Linked DNA regions of Notamacropus eugenii. The protein of the gene in region 2 interacts with the protein of the main gene of each other region in a biochemical or structural test. Links are inferred from orthologs where the notes say so. Each region holds a gene or a part of one and is shown on either strand. Other genes may lie near its edges.

Region 1 (9,297 bases), on a different chromosome or scaffold from region 2:
CTGACTCCCCATCCTTTTGGTAGGATAGGGACCGATCCATCTCCCCAGCTCTCTGAAGATGCCCACCAGGGGCTACGCCCAACAACCCAGGTTCAGCAGTGGTCAGCATCTCTTTTGCCAGGCGAGGTATGCCTAGATCTTTGTGATAAAAGCCCTAAAGGGAGAAGAAAGGGGTAAGCTGTGCACTGGCTTTGGCTCGTAATAGAGAAGGATGGAACAGGGATGAGTGGACAGGGGGAAATGAAGGAATGGTCTATGGAGGACAGTTAACTTGAAACTGATCCTGGGGTCCCAGGCTAGGTCTTTCAGTTAAAAAACCCAGTCTTTATGTCCTCTAATCTGGTGCTTGGATGGGAAGGTAGGACACTTAATAAAGACTTGTTGAATTGAATGGAATTCTTCTGAAGAGTTTCCACTGAGCCAAGAGAATCAATTGTTTCTTTCCTTCTTTACAGCCTCCCCAGTTTCAGTTCCCTCTGGGTATTCTCAACACTTTCAAGTCCTTACCTTGCTTCCTGAGTTGAAAGCGGGAGGACTCTTGGGCTGGGCCCCCAGGTATGCCCAAGGATAAGGAGCTAGGGGCCAATCAGAAGGCCGATCGTGGGGCTGGCTGGGCACCAAGTAAGGAGGCAGGCAGGTGGGTACCCAGAAAGGGGTCCTCTCTAGGATCTTGGTCTCCAGAAGAAAGGGGCAATGTAAGGGCCGGAAAGCCAATGGATCATTCTTGGGGTGGCTGCCACCTTGCTCTGGGGGCAGGAGGTTATGACGGGGTGGGCATGGCTGCCCACAGAGTGCCAGCTGGTGGGCTAGCATTGCTTCCTTCCATCGCAGCCCCTCTTTGGCCCCCAACCAGCTAGCCTTTCCTTCACCATTACGGGGTCCCTCACCCCCCAAGAATGGAAGTGGGTCATTTGAGCCATGGGGTAAGCCATGTGGAAACCAAGAGTCTGGGGGGCTCAGGGTCCCTCTCCAAAAGGGAGCAGACTCCCCCAGGCACAGTGGCCCATGGTGTGGACCCCGTGGCAAAGTGCCTGGCTCCTGTCTGATGCCATTCTCTGATGCTGGCTTTTCCCAGGTGGGGGCGTCTTGCAGGTAGCTGGGTGTGCTTTCCATGATGCCTCTGCCCTCATGGGGCTCTCACAAAGGGACTCCCTGTGATGAAACCAACAAAGCATGGACTCAGGTGCATTGCCTGGGCATCCCTGCTGCCTGGTACAAAGACAGCCCCACCCTGGCGGCATCGAGGCAGCACAAACCGGTAAGGCAAGTACAAGCCAATGACTGGGCACCAAGTTGCCTGCCCACAGAGTGCCCTAAGTTTCCCACCCTGGACCTGTTGATGCCCCCACTCTAAAGAAGCAACACTATTCCTCCCCATCCTCCCCGACCCTCCCCCTACTCCCTGTCATATTCCACCAAAGCCAGGGAACCTCAGTAGGAATAGGAGTGGAGTTGGAGGATCTTTTTATTATTGTTTTTGTATCTCTTAACATCTTTAAATATTTGTAGCATCAATTTCATTTGACTAGAACATCAGTAAACAGAAATATAATTCATTAATGATATGGGTTATTTTAGCTTGGTTGAAAGACAGCTTGATTTTTATAATATTCAACTGCCTATTCCATATTTATTAGTATGCAGTCATGGTTGGTGGAAAATAGCCTATAAACATAAATATCTTAAACTAATATGTAACATCATACATAAAAAGTTGGCTTATGACCATGTCATTTCCCTCTGCTCAAAGGATCTCCAATGATTTCCTATTGCCTCTAGGATAAAATTCAAAACTCCTCAGCTTAGTCTTTGTAACCATTTCCAGTCTGGTTCCAGCCTACCTTTCCAGGCTTATTTCACGTTACGCCCCTTCATGAACTCTCTGTTCCAGCCAAACTGGTCTACTCGCTGTTCCCCAAACTCAGGATTCCATCTCCGGCCTCCATGACTTTGAACAGGCTGTGCCCCTTCACTGGAATTCACTCCCTCCTCACCTTCTTCTCTTAGAATCCTAAGGTTTATTCAAGACTCATCTTATGTGTTACCTACCATGGGGAGCCTTTCCTGGCCCCCTTCGTCATTGACAATCTCTCCCTCCTCAAATCTCCATTTATGCACTTAGCTGTTAAAGGATAAATGGCAGAACAGTTTCATCTTTATCTTTGTACCCCCATCACTTAACATGGTGCCTTACACCTAATCCACATTTTATAAATGCTTCTTAGATTGAATTGGGATTAGATTGAATTGGGCAAAGCTCTTCAGTCCCACATGATTTAAGAAGGGGTGGAGGACACAAAAGCATAGATCTGAAAGTGGAAAACATCTAATCTGACCACATCATTGTACAGAGGAAGGAACTGAGCTTCAGAGAGGTTTAAATAAATGGCTTGCCCAAGGGAACATGGGTTAGTGAGGAGCAAAGCCTGGATTCAAACCTACCTCGGAAGCCCTTTACTAAATTTAGTGTTATTTTCACTAGACCACCAGGAGATAGAACCTAGGACTTCCTCTCCACCAGCATATTAAAGAAGAGAAAATGAGAACCCGGAAGAAATGTCTGGAAACCTTTGTGGAAAACTATAAGACTGGAAGTCAGAAGATTAGGGTCCAGGCTCTGGAATCTTATTAAATGTGTGACTTTCAATTTCTTTCTCTGGGTTAAGGAAATTTAACAAAATAGTCTATAAGGTCTCATTCACCTTTGAAATCTTGAACTTATGAGTTATGACTACAGCACAATATTAAAAAATGCAAAGAACCTCAGAGGTTACCTCCTCTAACTCCCTCATCTTACAGACTGGAAAACAGAGTTAGCTCTGTTACAATCGTCCCATTCTAGCCTCCCAGGGTGAAAAGAGTATATATCTGGTTAAAAAAAAAAGTTACTAGGGACGAATGCACCCTAAGGCTGAGGGCATTACTTTGGCAACTCTCAAAACTCTGCCTCTTCTTGGTCCTCTAAGATTATCCTATTTAGCTCCCCCAAGGAGCCCAGAACAGCTGGTGGGGTCTGAACTCTCCCCCTGGGCTCAGATGAGTCCTTGCTCCTGGCAAAAGCTGAGACATCTCCATGGAGAGACCCTAAAGTGAATAGGAATTAAGAGGCATCCTTGTTGATTTAGGTGAGGTCTTCCTAACTCCAGGGAGTAATAGTGTCCCTTAGAAGAGAAAGAGCCAGGGAGAGAAGCCCTTAGCCAGAGACAGAGGGGCAGGGAAAAGAGGGAAACTCCCAAGCAGAGCAGGGAACTACCAAGACTGGTGTGACAGGTGTCACTGAAACTAGCATGACAGCGTGACGTGACACAGGGCTGGCACTGTTTCTCAGGGGAATTCTGCGCCATCCAGTCTAGGGGTCCCAGTGCCACAGAAACAAAAAGGAAAGGAGTAAAAAAGAGTTGGAACTTAAGAAACAGGACTCCTTGGTTTTCTAGGGGGCCGATCTAAAGTGGGAATGCTGCCCCAGGGACGAACAACTTTATGCAGATGCACATGGGTCCAAGACAATTTGACCAATCGGTTTAGTACTCTCTCGGATCCCAGATGCCCGTGCTCTCCTCAGTCCCACTGTTAGTACTCACCTGTGCTGCTGGGGCCTGGCGCGAAGGCAGCGGGGGTCCTGGCTAGCGCTGGACGCGCCCTCCCCATGAGCCACCTCTGGGGCCTGCGAGCTCCTCTCACCCCCTCTCTCCCCCGGGCGTCGGGGGCGCTCTAGGGCCGCAGGTTGGAGGGGTCAGACTCCGGGATCTGCAGGATGCGGCACACTGCGCGGATGGGCCGCACCAGCTTCTGGGCTGAGGTTGTGGGCTGCGCCATGGGCCGCCGAGACTCCGTGCTGCGCCTCTGGGTGATCCGGGACGGGTCGGGGTTGGGGAGCGGGTGCCCCGGGGATGGAAGGAGCTGGGCCGGGGGAGCGGACGCCCCCGGAGGGAAAGTGAACTGGGCGGAGACGGGGGAGAGGGCTCCCCGGAGGGAGAATGAGCTGGGCTGGGGGGAACGGGCTCCCCGAGGGGAGAGTAAGCTGGACCGGGGGAAAAAGCGCCCCGGATTGGAAAAGGTAGAGTGGGGGGGACGCGGCCGAGAGGCCAGGGGAAGGGGTCGTTGGGGGGGGGCGATCGGGGTGCCCTGGAAGGTGGCACCAAGTGAGCGCAGCGCTGCGCGTCTAGTGTAGACCAAGCGGCACGGAGAGCGCAGCGGGACCTCCTATCGCCATCGCCGGACGCGCAACTGGGGAGCCGAAAAGCTGCTCCGCTGGTTTACTCCTCCTGCACCCCGGGGGGAACAGGAGCCCGTGATTCCTCAGCCCCGCCCAGGCCTGCCCCCTCCTGGCCCCCCGGGGCTTCCGCCAACGCCCCTGCGATGCCACCGGCTGTGCACCCAGAGAATGAGTCCTTTGTTTCCCCCCTTCCCCCCACATCAGCGGCACCCGGGCGCCTGCTGAGAGAGGCTCCCCTAGGGCAACGTGCCAGCTTCCCAGCGGCCCCACCCTCCCGTGGGCCGGCCCGGAGCCTGGCAGGCGGGCAGCACCCCGCTAGTAGGTGCCAAGCTGGGGAAATAGAGCAAAGGGCGGGAGGGGCTGGGCAGGATTCATGGGGTGGGGCTCCCCCCCTCCAGGGTAGGGCATGAAAGGAAGGGGCAGTGTCATTGCTGGCAGTAGCAGTCAGGTTGTCATGGGGTCAAGGATGGGAAACATCTGCTCTGTGCCATGGAGGGATGGGTCTATCTCACATAGATGTATGTATCCCTTTCCCCTTTTTTCCCTTTGCACCTTTCCATCGTAACCCCCACTCCTTACTCCTTAACACTCTCTCTCTTAGCCAGACCCAGCTATTAACTACTTGAAGCACCACATAACCTCTCCCTGAGTCTGTTTCCTCATCTGTAAAACGATGGAGTTTAGAGTAGATGCTCTCTGAGGTCCTTTCTAGCTCTGGCATCCTATGATTCTATTCTACTACCCAGTTTTCCCAGGGCTTCTAGCACCGATACAGGAAAGCAGTTGATGGGAGTGGCCCAGAGGGAGGGACCCAAGAGTGGGAGAGGAAATGGGAAAGTGAGGTACCCTTCCACCCAAGGAAGCACCAAGGTTCCTCTGTGGGGGTGGTTCAAGAAGCATAACCAGGTTCGCAGACAGCCAGACAGATTTATACACATACACAAGCTCAATAGGTGTTTCCCTTCACCTGGGCATCTATCACCCATCCCTTACTCTCTTAAGTCAGGATCTGGAGAGTGCAGCCCTCTATCTAGTCTGGAACCAACGCAGTGTTAGGACCTATCCCTGATCCACAAAGCTAGCTACTGTCATTAATTCCAGTGAGAGGGAAGAAGAAGAAAGGGAGAATGGTTCCTTCCTTCCCTGGACCCCTGAGACATGCTACCATCAGTGGAGATCCAAGTCAGAAAGAAGATGACCTAATAAGGACTTGTGAGAGACAGGAGAGGGAAAAAGTTGGAGGATTGAGGGATAGAGTGGGGCTTGGGCAGAGAAAAGAGTTCCAGGGGGAACTGGGACCATTCAGAGCCTATGGTTTATTAACATCCAGTTTTATAGCCTCCATGTCTGGTGGTAACTCCCTCTCCTTCCATATTGGCTTGGGCCTGGCCTACCTGGAAGATGGGAGAGATCAGAACCTCTATTCCTGACTCCCACCCCACCCCACTAATATATGTCCTGAGATTAGCTTCAGGGAGTGCAAGAGGGTGGCACTATGTGGCCAGGGGTACTTGGTAGGATTGTAACATCCATCTTCTCTTGGTGTCCCCCAGCCAGCAGCCAGCAGGCTAGAAGAGAGTGCCAGCAGGGAAAACCTATGGCTTAGGCCTTGGGAGACTAAGGACCCTTGGCAAGACTCAAGTCCCAAGCCCCACTTCTCCAAGTCTGGATGTGGGTGAGGTCAGGCCCCCTTGGGTGACAGACCAGGTAGTTTTCCTCAAGGTCTGTGACTCATCTTTACCCTGATTTGGGTAATTGTTCCCAGCATAAGCTCTCAGAGAACCTGGGAAGTGGGGGCAATGTGAGAGTCCCCTCCACAGCCTCACCCACCCCTATCCTGGCTTCCAATCTAGCTTTCCAAGGCCAGCACCAAAGCCCATGGCCTTTCAGTCAGCACCTCTTCGCCGAGAGTGGAGCAACACTGTGGGAATACACACAAAGGCCGCAAATACACACAGGAAAAAGTGATACACAAATGGACACACATACAAAGGCAAGCCGACCAATACCCAAAACATAGGCGTGCCCAGACGCAGACCTGAACCAACCCCCACACAGACAAGCACAAACACAAACAAACATACGGGCATTTGGGAGCTCCACCCACCTTCACCCCTTTCCCCAGAGTCCCTTACCTGGGCAGGCCAGCCAGGCCTCCCTCCACTGGAGCAGCCCCCAGACCGGGGGAGGGCAGCCCCGGACAGCCAGGCCAAGCTGCCACTAATCTGGGCAGGGAAGGGGGGGGCACCCACGTCAGAGCTGGGACTGCCGGGTGGAGGGCATCCGAGGACATCCCCTCCTACACATGCGGCTGTCTGGGCACCTAGCCCTACTTCCCCAGCCCCTCCATCCCACAGATAGCTGGGGCTGGCTGCCTCCCCTGTGGTGGGGAGTGTTGGGGGTTAATACCATCGGAGCCCCTAAGGATCTGGGTGGGGGTGGGGGTGGGGGAGAAGAAATGGGTCATGGGGAGGGAGGGGTTTGTCAGAAGATGAGTTTAATGCTGAAGAAAAGCTCTGTGGCAGACAACTCTCCTCTCTCACCCACTCACCCACCTCCCTAACATGATTTCGCTTCCTCTTCCTAATCATAACCCTCTCCCCACCTAAACAAAAACTCTAACCACCCTCAGATAGTAAGTCATTTAATAAATGTCTGTTGAATTGAGGGAGAGGGAGCTGCCTCCAGGATGCCCTTAATTCAGGGCTGCTTCACCTTATACTAACCAACCACTTTGAGTACCCGAACTCTCTATGAGTCGAGCAAAAGAGCCTCTGGACCAGGCTCCCCCCCCCCCAACCACACCCCTAGCAGTGGGCATCTCTGTGGCTGCACTTTGGGGCCCTGTCATTTGTGGTCAGCTGTTGGAAGCTCTGACCCTAGGGGTTGAGTAGGGGGAAGGGACTGAATTCTCATCTCCTCCCCTTTCCTTCCCCCTCCCCCCCACCCAGGGTGGGGCAGTGCCAGCCAGGACAACCTGGCCCTGGCCAGGGCCAAGACTGTGTTGAAACAAGAGGCTAATTACGTTGCTGAAACTGGCATCTAAAAATACAGCAACAGGGCCATGTGTGTGCTGTGCACATGGAGGGCAGAGACAGAGGGTGGGGGGAGTGGGGAGGAGGGAAACTGAGACTTAAGAAAAAGGGAAGTGGTGATTGAGAGGAAAGGAAAAGACTGACATAAGAAGCTGATAGGAGATGTCGGGGTAGGGGGGGAGGAAGGAGTGATGGAGACAGAGGAGAAGAAATACTGGAAAGGGAGAATGAGAGGTAGAAGGGGAGCAAGAGAGAGAACAGAAGAGACCAAAGTAGGGAGGAAGGTAAGGTGGACTTCCTTGTCAGAAGGGATGGATTGAGAAAAGAAGGTGAGTGGGTGGCTGCATGCTCTTGGGAGGTCTAAAATGGAGCCAGAGGCCCAGCTCTGGTCACTGGGATCCAGGCTGGGTCAGAGATGGACATGACAGAGGAAGGAGTGTAATGCAGAAGAGTGATTAGTTGTGTTTCTGCTTGGCCCCAGAGGGCACAATGAGAAGCAGTGGGGGGAAGTTTTAGAGAGACAGATCTAGGCTTGCTTTAAGGAAAAACTTCCTAACAATTAAGAACTCTCCAAGATCTAGAAGAATGTGCTGCCTTGGGAAGTAGCTGTTTCCTTTTTTGAGGTGTTTTCTGTCAAAGGTGAGATGACCACTTTTAGTGGTTATTGCAGAGATGTTCCTGTATGGGTTCTACTAGATGACCACTGAGTTTTCTTCCAGCTCCAAAAATCTGTAATTCTGTGAGATGGACTGAGTGATCATTAGGAGATAGGGGAGTGTGAAGTGTGGGTGTAGATAAGGCCCTGAGTCCTTTGGACAGTTTGAGTTCCCCCTTGTGTACTTGTCAGTCCCGAAAATCCTGCATGACCCTCTTCATTCCACCCCAGAGGTCAGACAGAACATGACAAGCGGTGGGACAAAAAGTCAAGGTTTGAATAGATAGAATAGATAGAATCTTAGACTCTGAGATCTTTGAGGAACCATCAAGTTATTTAATCCACACTCCCATAGTCCAGAAATCTCCTTTCCTAACAGATACTTCAAGAAGTGACAAAAAAATTGTTATCTTAACGTAGCAAACCCATCCCATTGGGATCCAGCTGGAGAGGGTACCACCTCTGGACAGAGGATTAAGGCTTAATCAATGGTCAGCCTAGAATTATAAACACAGAGAGAAGCCCCCTGTTCTAGGAGGAACAGCCAGACTGGAGTAGCCAATCCTCCAAATCAGTTCCAATTTGACGCACGATCAAAAGGATGCTCCATGGCTTGGAAATTTTGTTTGGTTTTTTCAGTAGTCTGACTCTTTGTGACCCCATTTGGGGTTTTCTTGGCAAAGATACTGGAATGGTTTGCTATTTGCTTCTCCAGCTCACCTTAAAGATGAGGAAACTGAGGCAATCAGGGTTAAGTGACTTGCCTAGGGTCATACAGCTAGTAAGTGTCTGAAGCCAGATTTGAGCTCAGGCTGAGGAATCTTCTGATTCCAGGCCCAGCACTCTATCCACTGAACCATCTAGCTGCCCAAGTTTCCAACACACCTGAGTACAAACAACAAATGTTCATTGAGTACCTACTATGTGCTCAGAAGTGTGCCAGCTATGCTGAAGAATATGAATGGGACCCTTCCCTCAGGGGGTTCACAATCTAGTTGAGGAAAGAATACATAAAAGAGTACATTTATTATATTGGATTCTTAGCTTTAGCGCCGGAGTTTAGTGGTACAATACAAATGATTACCATTAGACTTCAGGGGAAGGAGAGATCACCTGGGACTGGGGTAGCTAGGGAAGACTCCATGAAAAAGTAAATCTTGAACTGGACTTTGCAGAATTCAGGCACAGGGAGAAAGGAAGGAGGACTTTGGAGGAGAAAGCCTTAGTTAGGGCAAAATAGAGAAAATTGAACTTTTTTTTCAGGGAGCAAGAAGTAATGAAAGAATGAATGAATGAAGCATTTAAGTACTTATTATGTGTCAAGCACTGTGTAGGAGATACAGATATTTTAAAAAGAGACAGTCCTTGCCCTCTAGATTACATTCTAATAG
Region 2 (10,446 bases):
TGTACCTCACTGGGAGCAGAGCGCAGTCCAGTGTGGCCCTCAAGTGCACAGAGGGGGACCCAAGCAGGCCTTGGGGAGACTGAATCTCTCACACCTGTGGTGGTTTCCAGATTTCATGACCCCAAAACATGGAGGATAAATTGGAAGGTCAGCGGAAAAAGGCTGTGGGACCAGAAAGTGGAGTGGTCAGGCCCCAGGCCCATGAAAGCAGAGTGGGGAGGGGATGAAGAAACTTGTAGCAGCCACTGCAGCAGCAGAGGCAGCTGGAGCCACTGTTTCTGGAGCTCTAGGCCCACAGATTGTGGGGGGTTCAAGCAGGTGACAGTATACTCCCCACACCCACTGGAAGCAGAGAACTGCCTTGACAAAGAGCTCAAAAGTCAAGTAAATGGCTGGAGAAATGAGAAAAACTGGAAAAAGAATCAGACTATAGAATCTTACTTTGGTGACAAGGAAGACCAAAGTATGCAAACAGAAGAAAACAAAGTTAAAGCTCTTTTATCCAAAGCCTCCAAGAAAAATTTAAATTGGTCTCAGGCTATGGAAGAGCTCAAAAAGGATTTTGAAAATCAAGTAAGAGAAGTAGAGCAAAAATTGAGAAGAGAAATGAGAGTGATGCAAGAAAATAATGAAAAACAAGTCAACTGCTTGCTAAAGGAGACCGCAAAAATGCTGAAGAAAACAACACCTTAAAAAATAGACTAACCCAAATGGCAAAAGAGAGCCAAAAAGCCAATGAGGAGAAGAATGCCCTAAAAAGCAGAATTGACCAGATGGAAGAGGAGATCCAAAAGCTCACTAAAGAAAATAATTCCCTAAAGATTAGAATGGAGCAGATGGAAGCTAATGACTATATGAAAAATCAGGAAATTATAAAACAAAACTAGAGGAATGAAAAATGGCAGAAAATGTGAAATGTCTCATTGCAAAAACAACTGACCTAGAAAATAGATCCAGGAGAGACAATTTAAAAATTATGGGACTACCTGAAAGCCATGATCAAAAAAAGAGCCTAGACATCATCTGTCATGAAATTATCAAGAAAAACTGCCCTGATGTTCTAGAACTGGAGGATAAACTAGATATTGAAAGAATTCACTAATCACCTCCTGAAAGAAATCTGAAAAGAAAAAACTTCTAGAAATACTGTAGCCAAATTCCTGAGTTCCCAGGTCAAGGAGAAAATATTGCAAGAAACCAGAAAGAAACAATTTGAGTATTGCGGAAATACAATCAGGATAATACAAGATCTAGCAGCTGCTACATTAAATGATTGAAGGACTTGGAATATGATGCTCCAAAAGTCAAAGGAACTAGGACTAAAACCAAGAATCACCTACCCAGCAAAACTGAGTATAATACTTCAGGGGAAAAAATGATCATTCAGTGAAATAGAGGACTTTCAAGCATTCCTGATGAAAAGATCAGAATTTTCAAATAGAAAATTTGACTTTCAAACACAAGAATCAAGAGAAACATAGAAAGGTAAACAGGAAAGAGAAATCATAAGGGACTTACTAAAGTTGAACTGTTTACATTTCTACATGGAAAGATAATATTTGTAACTCTTGAAACTTTTCTTAGTATTTGGGTAGTTGAAGGGATTATATACATATATATATATATATATATATATATATATATATATATATATATATATATATATATATATATATATATAGACAGAGGGCAAAGTGTGAGTTGAATAGGAAGAGATGATATCTAAAAAAATAAAAAGAACAGGTGAGAGAGGAATATATTGGGAGGAGAAAGGGAGAAATGGAATGGGGCCAATTATCTCTCATAAATGAGTCAAGAAAAAGCTTTTTCAATGGAGGGTAAAAGGGGAGAGGTGAGAGGGAAAAAGTGAAGCTTACTCTCATCACATTTGGCTTAAGGAGGGAATAAAATGCACACTCAATTTGATATGAAAATCTATCTTACACTACAAGAAAGTAGGGGAGAAGGGGATAAGTGGAGTGTGGGGGAATGATAGAAGGGAGGGCAAATGGGAGGAGGGAGTAATTAGAAGTAAATACTTTTGGGGAGGAACAAGGTCAAAAGAGAGAATAGAATAAATGGGGGGCAGGACAGGATGGAGGGAAATATATTTAGTCTTTCACAGCATGACTATTATGGAAAACTTTTGTATGTATATATACACATGTATAGCCTATATTGAATTGCTTGCCTTCTTAGTGGGGATGGGTGGAGAGGGAGGAAGGGAGAGAAGCTGGAATTCAAAATTTTAGAAATGAATGCTGAGAATTGTTTTTGCATGTAACTGGGAAATAAATACAGGTAATGGGGTATCTATCTTGGCTTACAAAAAAAGACAGAAGATGGGGATAAGGGAAGGGAGGTATGTGATAGAAGGGAGGGCAGATTGGGGGAAGGGGTAATCAGAATGCACGTTATCTTGGGGTGGGGGGAGGAGAGAGATGGGGAGAAAATTTGGACCTCAAAATCTTGTGGAAATGAATGTTGAAAACAAAAAATTAATTAATTAATTAATTAAAAACAAAAGAGAGAAAGAATAGATCGTCGACTTGAGCAGCCAACCAAAAAACATTTAGAAAAGTAACCAAAAAAGCCTTGCAACTATACACAAAGATAAAAATTCTGAAAGTCAAAGATATAAAATTGAAAACAAAAACTCCACTGAATTGATAATAAACTAGAAAATGAGCTTTAAAAGAATGATAAAATAGATAAACTGTTGGCTGATCTGATTTTTAAGAAAAGTGGACCAAATGAAAAATATCAGTAAGAAGAAATCACAACAAATGAATAACGGAAATTATTAGAAATTATTTTGCCTAATAGTAATGGAGTGAATGGGCAGCTAGGAGTCCATGTGGATTGAGGGCTGGGCCAGAAGTCAGGAAGACTGAGTTCAAATCTGGCCTCAGGCACTTACTAGCTATGTGACCCTGGCCAAGTCACTTAACCCTGTTTGCCTCCATTTCTTCATCTGTAAAATAAGCTGGAGAAAAGAATGGCAAACCACTCCAACACCTTTGCCAAAAAAACCCTAAATGGAGTCACAAAGAGTTGGACAGGAAATGACTGAACAACAAATTGAGTCAGTATTATCTGTGATGGGGAAATGCTGTAGGGGCCTTTCCAATAAGATCATGCTTGAGGCAAAAATGTTCATTATCACCTCTGGTATTTGACCCAGTACTAGTCATTTTAGGTATATTAACAAAACAAGAAAAGAAAATTTAGGCAATGAACATAGGCAAAAAAAGCACAATAATCACCTTTTTTTCCCTTAATTTTTCGCAAGGCTGCACGCCAGACTTCTCTAGCATTCTACCTTACCAGTTACCTTCTCCTCCCTCAAACCCATTTTTCAGATTCCTTTTACCTGTTGCCTTCCACCATTAGAATGTAAGTTCCTTACGAGTGGAGACTGTTTTCTTTCTTCTTTCTATCTGCATTTCCTGTACTTAGCACAGTGCCTGGCCCAGGGTAAGTCCTTAATAAATGCTTATTGACCGATGAGTGACTGACTGCCTATGAAATGATAGTTTACTAGAGAACCTTAAAAATTCAACTAATAATTAACTGAAACAATAATTTCAGCCAAGTGGGATATACAATAAACTCACATATATCACTGGAATTTGTGTATATGAGCAACAAAACCCAAAAGAAAAAGAGAAGGAAATGAAAATTCCATTCCTAATATCTATGCATAAGATATCTGGGAGTCCACATTATCAAGAAACACACAGGGATTATGTGACTCCAAAATTCTCTATAGAGAATTCTATGAAGATTTAAAGACAAACCTAAAAACTGAAGCTCATAGTTGGATAGCGTCAATGTAATAAAAATTACATTATCTAAATTAATTTACTTATTCAGTGCCATGCTAATCAAATTTTTTATTGTTGTTGACTCTTTGTGGCCTTTGCGGGGTTTTCTTGTCAAAGATACTAGAGTGATTTAATATTTCCTTCTCCATCTCCATTTATCAATAAGGAAACTGTCTAGTAAGTGTCTGAGACCAGATTTGAACCCAGTTAGATGAGTCTTCCCGACTCCAGGCCCTGTCCTCTATCCACTGCATTATGTATCTGTCTTCAGTATCAAAATACTAAAGGGTTACTTCATAGAACTAGAAAAATCACTAACAAAATTCATTAGAAGGAAAGATCAAGAACTTCAAGGGAAATAAAAAAGTCAAAAGGAAGGGAGCCTAGCAGCACCAGATCTTAAGCCATACTAGAAAACAATAATTATGAAAATTATTTGGTATTAGTTTAAAAAAACAGGAAGACTGATTGGTCAAACATGATACACCAAATCTAGAAGCAAACAAGCATAATAACACTGTGTTTGATAAACCCCTGGACTCCAAGTTCAGGACTTGCTAGTTGGCAAAAACTGCTCTGAAAACTAAAAACTGCCCAGCAGAAATTAGATTTAGGCCAACATCTGAAATCATATACCAGTATAAATTGCAAATGGACACATAACCTAGACATAAAAGGTCACATCATAAGGAGCAAGAAAGGAGATAGTATTCACTGTTATGGATGGAAGAAGATTTCTTGAGTAAATAATGAATGGAGAAAATCACAAGAAATAAAATGAATATTTTTTATCATATGAACTTTGAAAAGCTTCTGCACAAGCAAAATCAGTGCAATTTAAATGAGAAATGAAACAGTTAACTAGTAAAAAAAAAATTTGCAGAAAATTTCCCTCATAAAGTTCTAATGTCTCAGATATATAATAAATTGATTCAAATATGGAAGAAAAAGAGCCATTCCCCAAGAGATAAGGTTATAAACAGGCAATTTCCAAAAGCAGCAACCAATAATGATATGAAAAAACATTTGATATCACTAATATGAGAAGTGAAAATTAAAATAATTCTCATTAAATCAAATTAAAATACCCCATACTCAACAGATTCACAAAGATGACTAAAAAATGAAATTGAGCATTTTTGGAGGCGATTAGACTCATTAATGCAATGTGAATTGATCCAACCATTCTGGAAAGAAATATGGAATCATAACAACAAAAAAACACTATCCATCCCCTCTGATCCAGTGATAACATTGGGAGAAGACTGAAAAATCAGAGACTGCTAATTAGGTATTTTACATTTCACTTCCTCTTGACATTGTCCAAATACCCCCCCAGGATAAGTCTTCCAGGCTCAGCCCAGTCCAGTGAAGGTCTTCTCTGACGCAGCAGCTCCTGCAGCTGCCCATCAGCTCTAACCCCGGGGGACCCAAGTCCTCCAGAGCTCTAGAACTCCCACGGTGATGGATTAGAGGTGCCCAACGGAACACACACGTTCAGGCAAGGCCAATGGATTTGTTTTTCACTGGACCATGTTTATTTGTTATAAGGGAAGGCTTTGGGAAAGAGGGAGAGTAAGAAGGAGGTTAGTGATAGCGATGGCAAAAAAAAGGTGAAGAAAGTATGAATAACATATTTTTAAAAGCACAGAAGAGAACCGAAGGAGGTTCTGGAGGAGACGTAGATAAATAGGACAGCTTTGGAACTATCGATGAAATTTGTTGCGTACTTTTAAAAAGCTATATACATACATACTCTACAAAGCTATATATATATACTTCATATATAACACATCTTCCCCCCTTGTAATATGTGGAATTGTTAGTATTCGATGGTGTTAGGATAACAAAGTTAAGTTTTAGACTAACAAGTTCAGAGTAACAAAAACACTCAATTAAAATCCTGAAGTTAAGGAGCAGCATGCTTGCGCTGGCACTTGGGCCAGCCTCCAGAGGACGGTTTACACTGTCCTTTGTTTTCCTCTCCACAGCCGGTGGAAAGAACAGATCTAACCCCCATCTTCTGCACGACGCGCGCTGACAACCTTCCCAAGGCGCAGACCCATCCAGGTGTGGCGACGCACCTGGAGAGTGCTGCGGACTGTACCACTGTGAGGTGCAGGGGGGGGAGCTGTCCACAAAGTAACACAAAAAGGCCAGAACGGGCATCTTCAGAGTCACGGTGACTGAGACGACATAATACAGAGGGGGGGACTCCGTCTTGCTCCCAAAGCTTCGGGGATGCACGGAATAGGTTCCCCCGCACCCTCCACGGGAGAGTGACTGATTCGAAACTCAAGATGGTGTCGGAGCAGATTGAGCTCAGCCTGCCCCAGCCACTGGCTGGGGAGGACTGGGACCCAGGAGCCGGGCCAAAGTGATGGGGCGGGTCCGGAGGCAGGGTCAGAGCCAGGGGGCGGGGCCAGGTGCGGGGCTGTCTCTTCTTGTCAAAAGGCAGCCTCCCAGCTTGAGCGGTTCCGATCTCCCAGCGGGCGTGTGCCGGGGCCAGGTGCGGAGCAAGGACCGGGACTGGGCTCCGAGCCGGGACCGGGACCGAGACTGGGAGCGGGTTCGCGGTGGAGATCTCGAGATCTCGGGGACCGAGGAGGAGGGGGTGTACGCCTGCCAGTGTGTGCGCCCCTGGGCCACTGAGCGAGGCTGGGAGGTGAGGGCACCGTCTGAGCGCCAGGCTGTGGTGCCACGAGTCAGGCTGGACAGCGGGCTAGCTGGGAGAAAGAACGGAGTCCTGGGAGCCTTTGCCCAGCGAGGAAGTGGACTGTAGGCTTGAACTGACTGGGCTCCCAAGTCAACAAGCGAAAAAGCGTTCGAGTTGGAATTGGGGAGGCAGCGTGGGGTGCTTTTTGGGAGAGGGTCTGAAGGAAACTGATGACTATAGGGAGTCCTAGAGTCCATCTGGGCGCTTTTGATCTTTGTCCATTCCCCCGGGGAATCTTAAGACGCGCAAGAAGGGTCTCTAAGGCTCCTATCCTGTAGAGTTTCTTAAAGTAGAAGGTTCTACAACTATCATTATTGTACGGTGCCATTTAACGAAGGACGTGCCTCCAGAGTGCGCGTGTGGTCGAGGGGATGGGGAGCTTGGGGGGGCTGTAGAACGGCTCCTTTCAGTACCTCTGGGACAGTGTCAGAGTGCGGAGGGGACTCGGGAGCTGCTTCTGAGAGAGGGAAATGAGTTGAAGTGAGAAATTTCCGTGGGCGAATGAGTGAAAGCCATTTGGGAAAGTTTCTGTGAAGGAACTGCGTGTGGGGCTTGAGGGAGTTGTGAAGAGCGGGGTCTGCCCAGGGGAGAGGGTCTAGCCCTCTGGCTAATAGAAGATCAAGGACAAGGCCCTTGATACCTGGGGAATGAGTGGGGTGGAACAGGCAGGGTGCCCCCAGCCTAGCTGGGTCTGAGCCCTTCCTGGTCCTCCTCCTCCTTTTCTCTCCTCCTCCGTGCGGTGAGTGAGTCAGCCTCCTGTCTGGGCTCAGACACAGCCAGGGGGGCTAGAGCCTGGGTTAGATCTTCTTTGAGCTTTGCGGAAACACTCTTGGGCAGAGTTCAGTTCTGCCCCCAAATCATTGTTAGGTGGCTGTCTTCCATGAGGAGGTGAGTATGGGCTAGTTAGGGCAAAGAAACAGGCATTTCTAAGGAAGCAATGGCCCTAAGGTTTTCTGGGATGTTTCTGAAAGGAGCCAGGAGTGACCACCCCCAGGTGTGACTACATGTTTTTCCCATTTTTTTCTCAGGATTTGGTGGTGGGTCCTAGTACTCCAGAGCTGTCATTGAAATGGTCCAGCTTTTTCCTGCCTACCACCTCACCCCTGAGTGATCGCTTCAGCCGATGACCTCAGCCGGTAAGTTCAAAGTGCAGAGACAAGGGCTGTGCCTTTCACCAAATGAGTTTGGAGAAGGACAAAAGAGGGGTCATGCCTTGAGCTGGAAGAAGAGATCTGGACAGCCAGGCTTCTTCACCTTTACTCAGGGCTATCCATGAGAGGGGTGGAACTGGAACCCTTTACCCTCTTTGTTGTTGTTCTCGCTGCGCAAGTGTAAGAAATGACTTATTTCTTCTGGAGGAAAAATGACAAGATTGTGATATAGTCAGATTACCCTAGAGAGAGTAGTCCTTAAATATGTTTTTGGTCTTCTTTGGTAGAAGGGGATAGAGATCCCCCTAAGGGGATAATAGGGGCATCAGAGTTTCTTCTTTGGCCCCAGACCCTGCTGCTTCCCTTTTTCAATTCATTTGAGGAGAGGCCTTAATGCCTCATTGGGCTATGCGGATGACTCAGACTGTAGAAAGTTAGGAAATTTACAATCCATGTTTCAACCAGATCTCAGGCTTATGGGTTTGGTGAGTCTTTGGGTCACTAGTGGTGTGAACTTCTGGAGGAGACAAAACTTTGAGCCCTTCCAAGCCTCTAGTCTGGGAAGAGATTAAAGGGGAGAAGGGAGAAAGTCCAGTGGGTTTACTTCATTGGGACTGGATTTAGGTTGTTCTTTATTTGTGTAAGTAATGTGCAGGATTAAGATAATTTATTTCTTGGAATATTCTCACTTTGCCTTAGGATTGCTCTTTCCTTGATATCAAATCCTTTATAAAAATAAAGTGAAACTCTTGAACTCTCCCAAAGCACAAACCCAATGCTTCTCCAGGGCTAGACGTGTAAAATTTGGAGAATGATACTGGGCCAGAACAAGATAGTTCCATCCCCCCAAGGTAGAATGGAGTAGTACGCAGTTCATTAGCTTACTATGTTCTGTCCCATATTAACCCTTAGACCTAGATACTGGCCCAGGAGAGTTCTTCTAGAACCAATTCCAACAACCTCCTAGTTTGAGCAGGCTATTAACTTGGGTCCCTCTGAGCACAGAGTCAAAGAGTTAGGGGGACCTAGAAGTCTGAGCTGGGACAACAGTCTAGCTAATAATAACACTCCATATTTATGTAGTATGTAGTATTCTACATGTTATCTCTTGTGTTCCTATGAAGTAGATAGGACAGGTATTGTTGCCCTGTTCTGCAGATAAAGAAAAAGGCTCTTTAGTGATTTGTTCCAAGTTCGGTACTTTTTCTATTATATCAAGCATATTTTTGTTCTCCTGACAGCCACAGTATGGAAGAATTATGAGGCTTTATACTTGGGCCAGAACTGAACTGGTTTCTAAAGGCAGTAGAGAGTAGAGGACATGTCCTGAGAAACCTGAGGTCAAATTTTGGACAGTTACCATGGGACCTCAGACAAGTCACTTTATCTCTCTAAACCTCAGTTTCCTTATCTATAAAGTAGGTTTAAGTTATACTAACTACCCTGGAAAGAAAAGGCTTTGTAAACCTTAAAGCAATTTCTAAATATGAATTGTTGTTTCTTCCTCGAGCAATAAAGATTACTTTTCTAGGTAGTTTTCCCACTTGCTTCACTGGCCCACTCTCTTTCCCTCCCTTTGCATAGTATACATTTTTTCTTTTTAAATGTTCATGCTTTTTCTTTTCTTTATCACATTCACTCCCCAATGACTCCTCCCAATAGAATCATCCCTTGTAACAAAATGCTATCCTCTCCCTTTCCTTCTTTTTTTTTTTATTACTTCCCTAGTGGCTCTTGACATTTTCTTCATGCAGATAAATCTCATATTGTGTTTAGTTCTATAAAGTAACTACTTGTAGTTTGGTATGGTATTAAATTAAATATATAAATTAATTTAGATAATGTCACCATTTCTATTCTGTTAGGGTGGCCCAACCTTGAATAATAGATTTCTCTCTAATTATTTGTCTTCCTTATTATGGAGTCTGTTTTAGGGTTGTAATCATATAGCTCCTACCTGGAGAAAATCTCTTTTCCCTATGGGTTAGCTTCCCTTCTCTAAATTTCAAACTGTGCACTTATAGGCATAAATTAAATCATTGTTAATACTCATATACTTTAATAGAAGTATCAAACAGCATACAAATGCAGATGTAACAAGGTATAGCAGGCTATAATATGACTTGTAGCTGGAGGATAGAACTATCTTCTTCCTCTCCCTCCCCCCAGATTAGAGGGGTAAACAGGAAGAAATATATTCAGGCAGATTAAAGGATCAGGGTTTCCTCACAAGAGGGAAAGCAAACAGAATGTCCACTGGACTTAAATTTCTGTCACCAACCATATGCATTTGATGCTTTGTCCTCTGCTTATGCATTTGCTCCTGGCTCTATAACAGTGGGCTGATCATTACCTCCTTTCTATTCCTAATCTCCTCTTTTCTGCTACTCCCTGCCTTTATGAACAGGGGGGAGATTCTCTTACCCCAAGCTTTTCACCAGGGTTGTCAGGAGAAACATAGAACCAGATGTAGCCATTGTCCTTATCTCCATCTCTCTGTATCATTTCGTTGCCTGGATTCTCTGCCTCCCCACTTTTGCAAGGTCAAAAGCCATGGAAAGATATGGAATTTTGGGTAACATGTGGGCTAGACAAGGCTGCTCCCCCTCCCCCCCAATCTCCATGGTAATGGCTCTGTGGAAGGAGCAGTCAGTGCTAAGGATAAGTTGCATTCCGAAAGGAATTTATTTTTCTGTCTCTTTCTATAGGAAGTCTCTTTTATATCCTATTACTTTACTGAAGTTACTCATTA

The links. The genes of interacting proteins can lie anywhere in the genome.
Region 1: the proteins of VDR (region 2) and HR form a complex in vitro, tested with the Homo sapiens proteins (2 studies listed by BioGRID and IntAct). The link is inferred for Notamacropus eugenii from reciprocal best matches to the Homo sapiens genes VDR and HR.

Annotation. Positions count from the first base shown.
Region 1 is NC_092872.1:612,531,822-612,541,118, reverse strand, and holds the start of HR (lysine-specific demethylase hairless), read right to left. Parts: upstream 3,712-9,297; 5' UTR 3,582-3,711; intron 1,960-3,581; exon of another isoform or gene 1,842-1,959; intron 1,153-1,841; 5' UTR 1,114-1,152; coding exon 508-1,113; intron 155-507; coding exon 1-154. Other genes in the region: protein HRURF, read right to left, coding at 3,712-3,816. UniProt on the Homo sapiens protein: Histone demethylase that specifically demethylates both mono- and dimethylated 'Lys-9' of histone H3. May act as a transcription regulator controlling hair biology (via targeting of collagens), neural activity, and cell cycle.
Region 2 is NC_092874.1:219,606,195-219,616,640, reverse strand, and holds the start of VDR (vitamin D3 receptor), read left to right. Parts: upstream 1-6,277; 5' UTR 6,278-6,492; intron 6,493-7,571; 5' UTR 7,572-7,679; intron 7,680-10,446.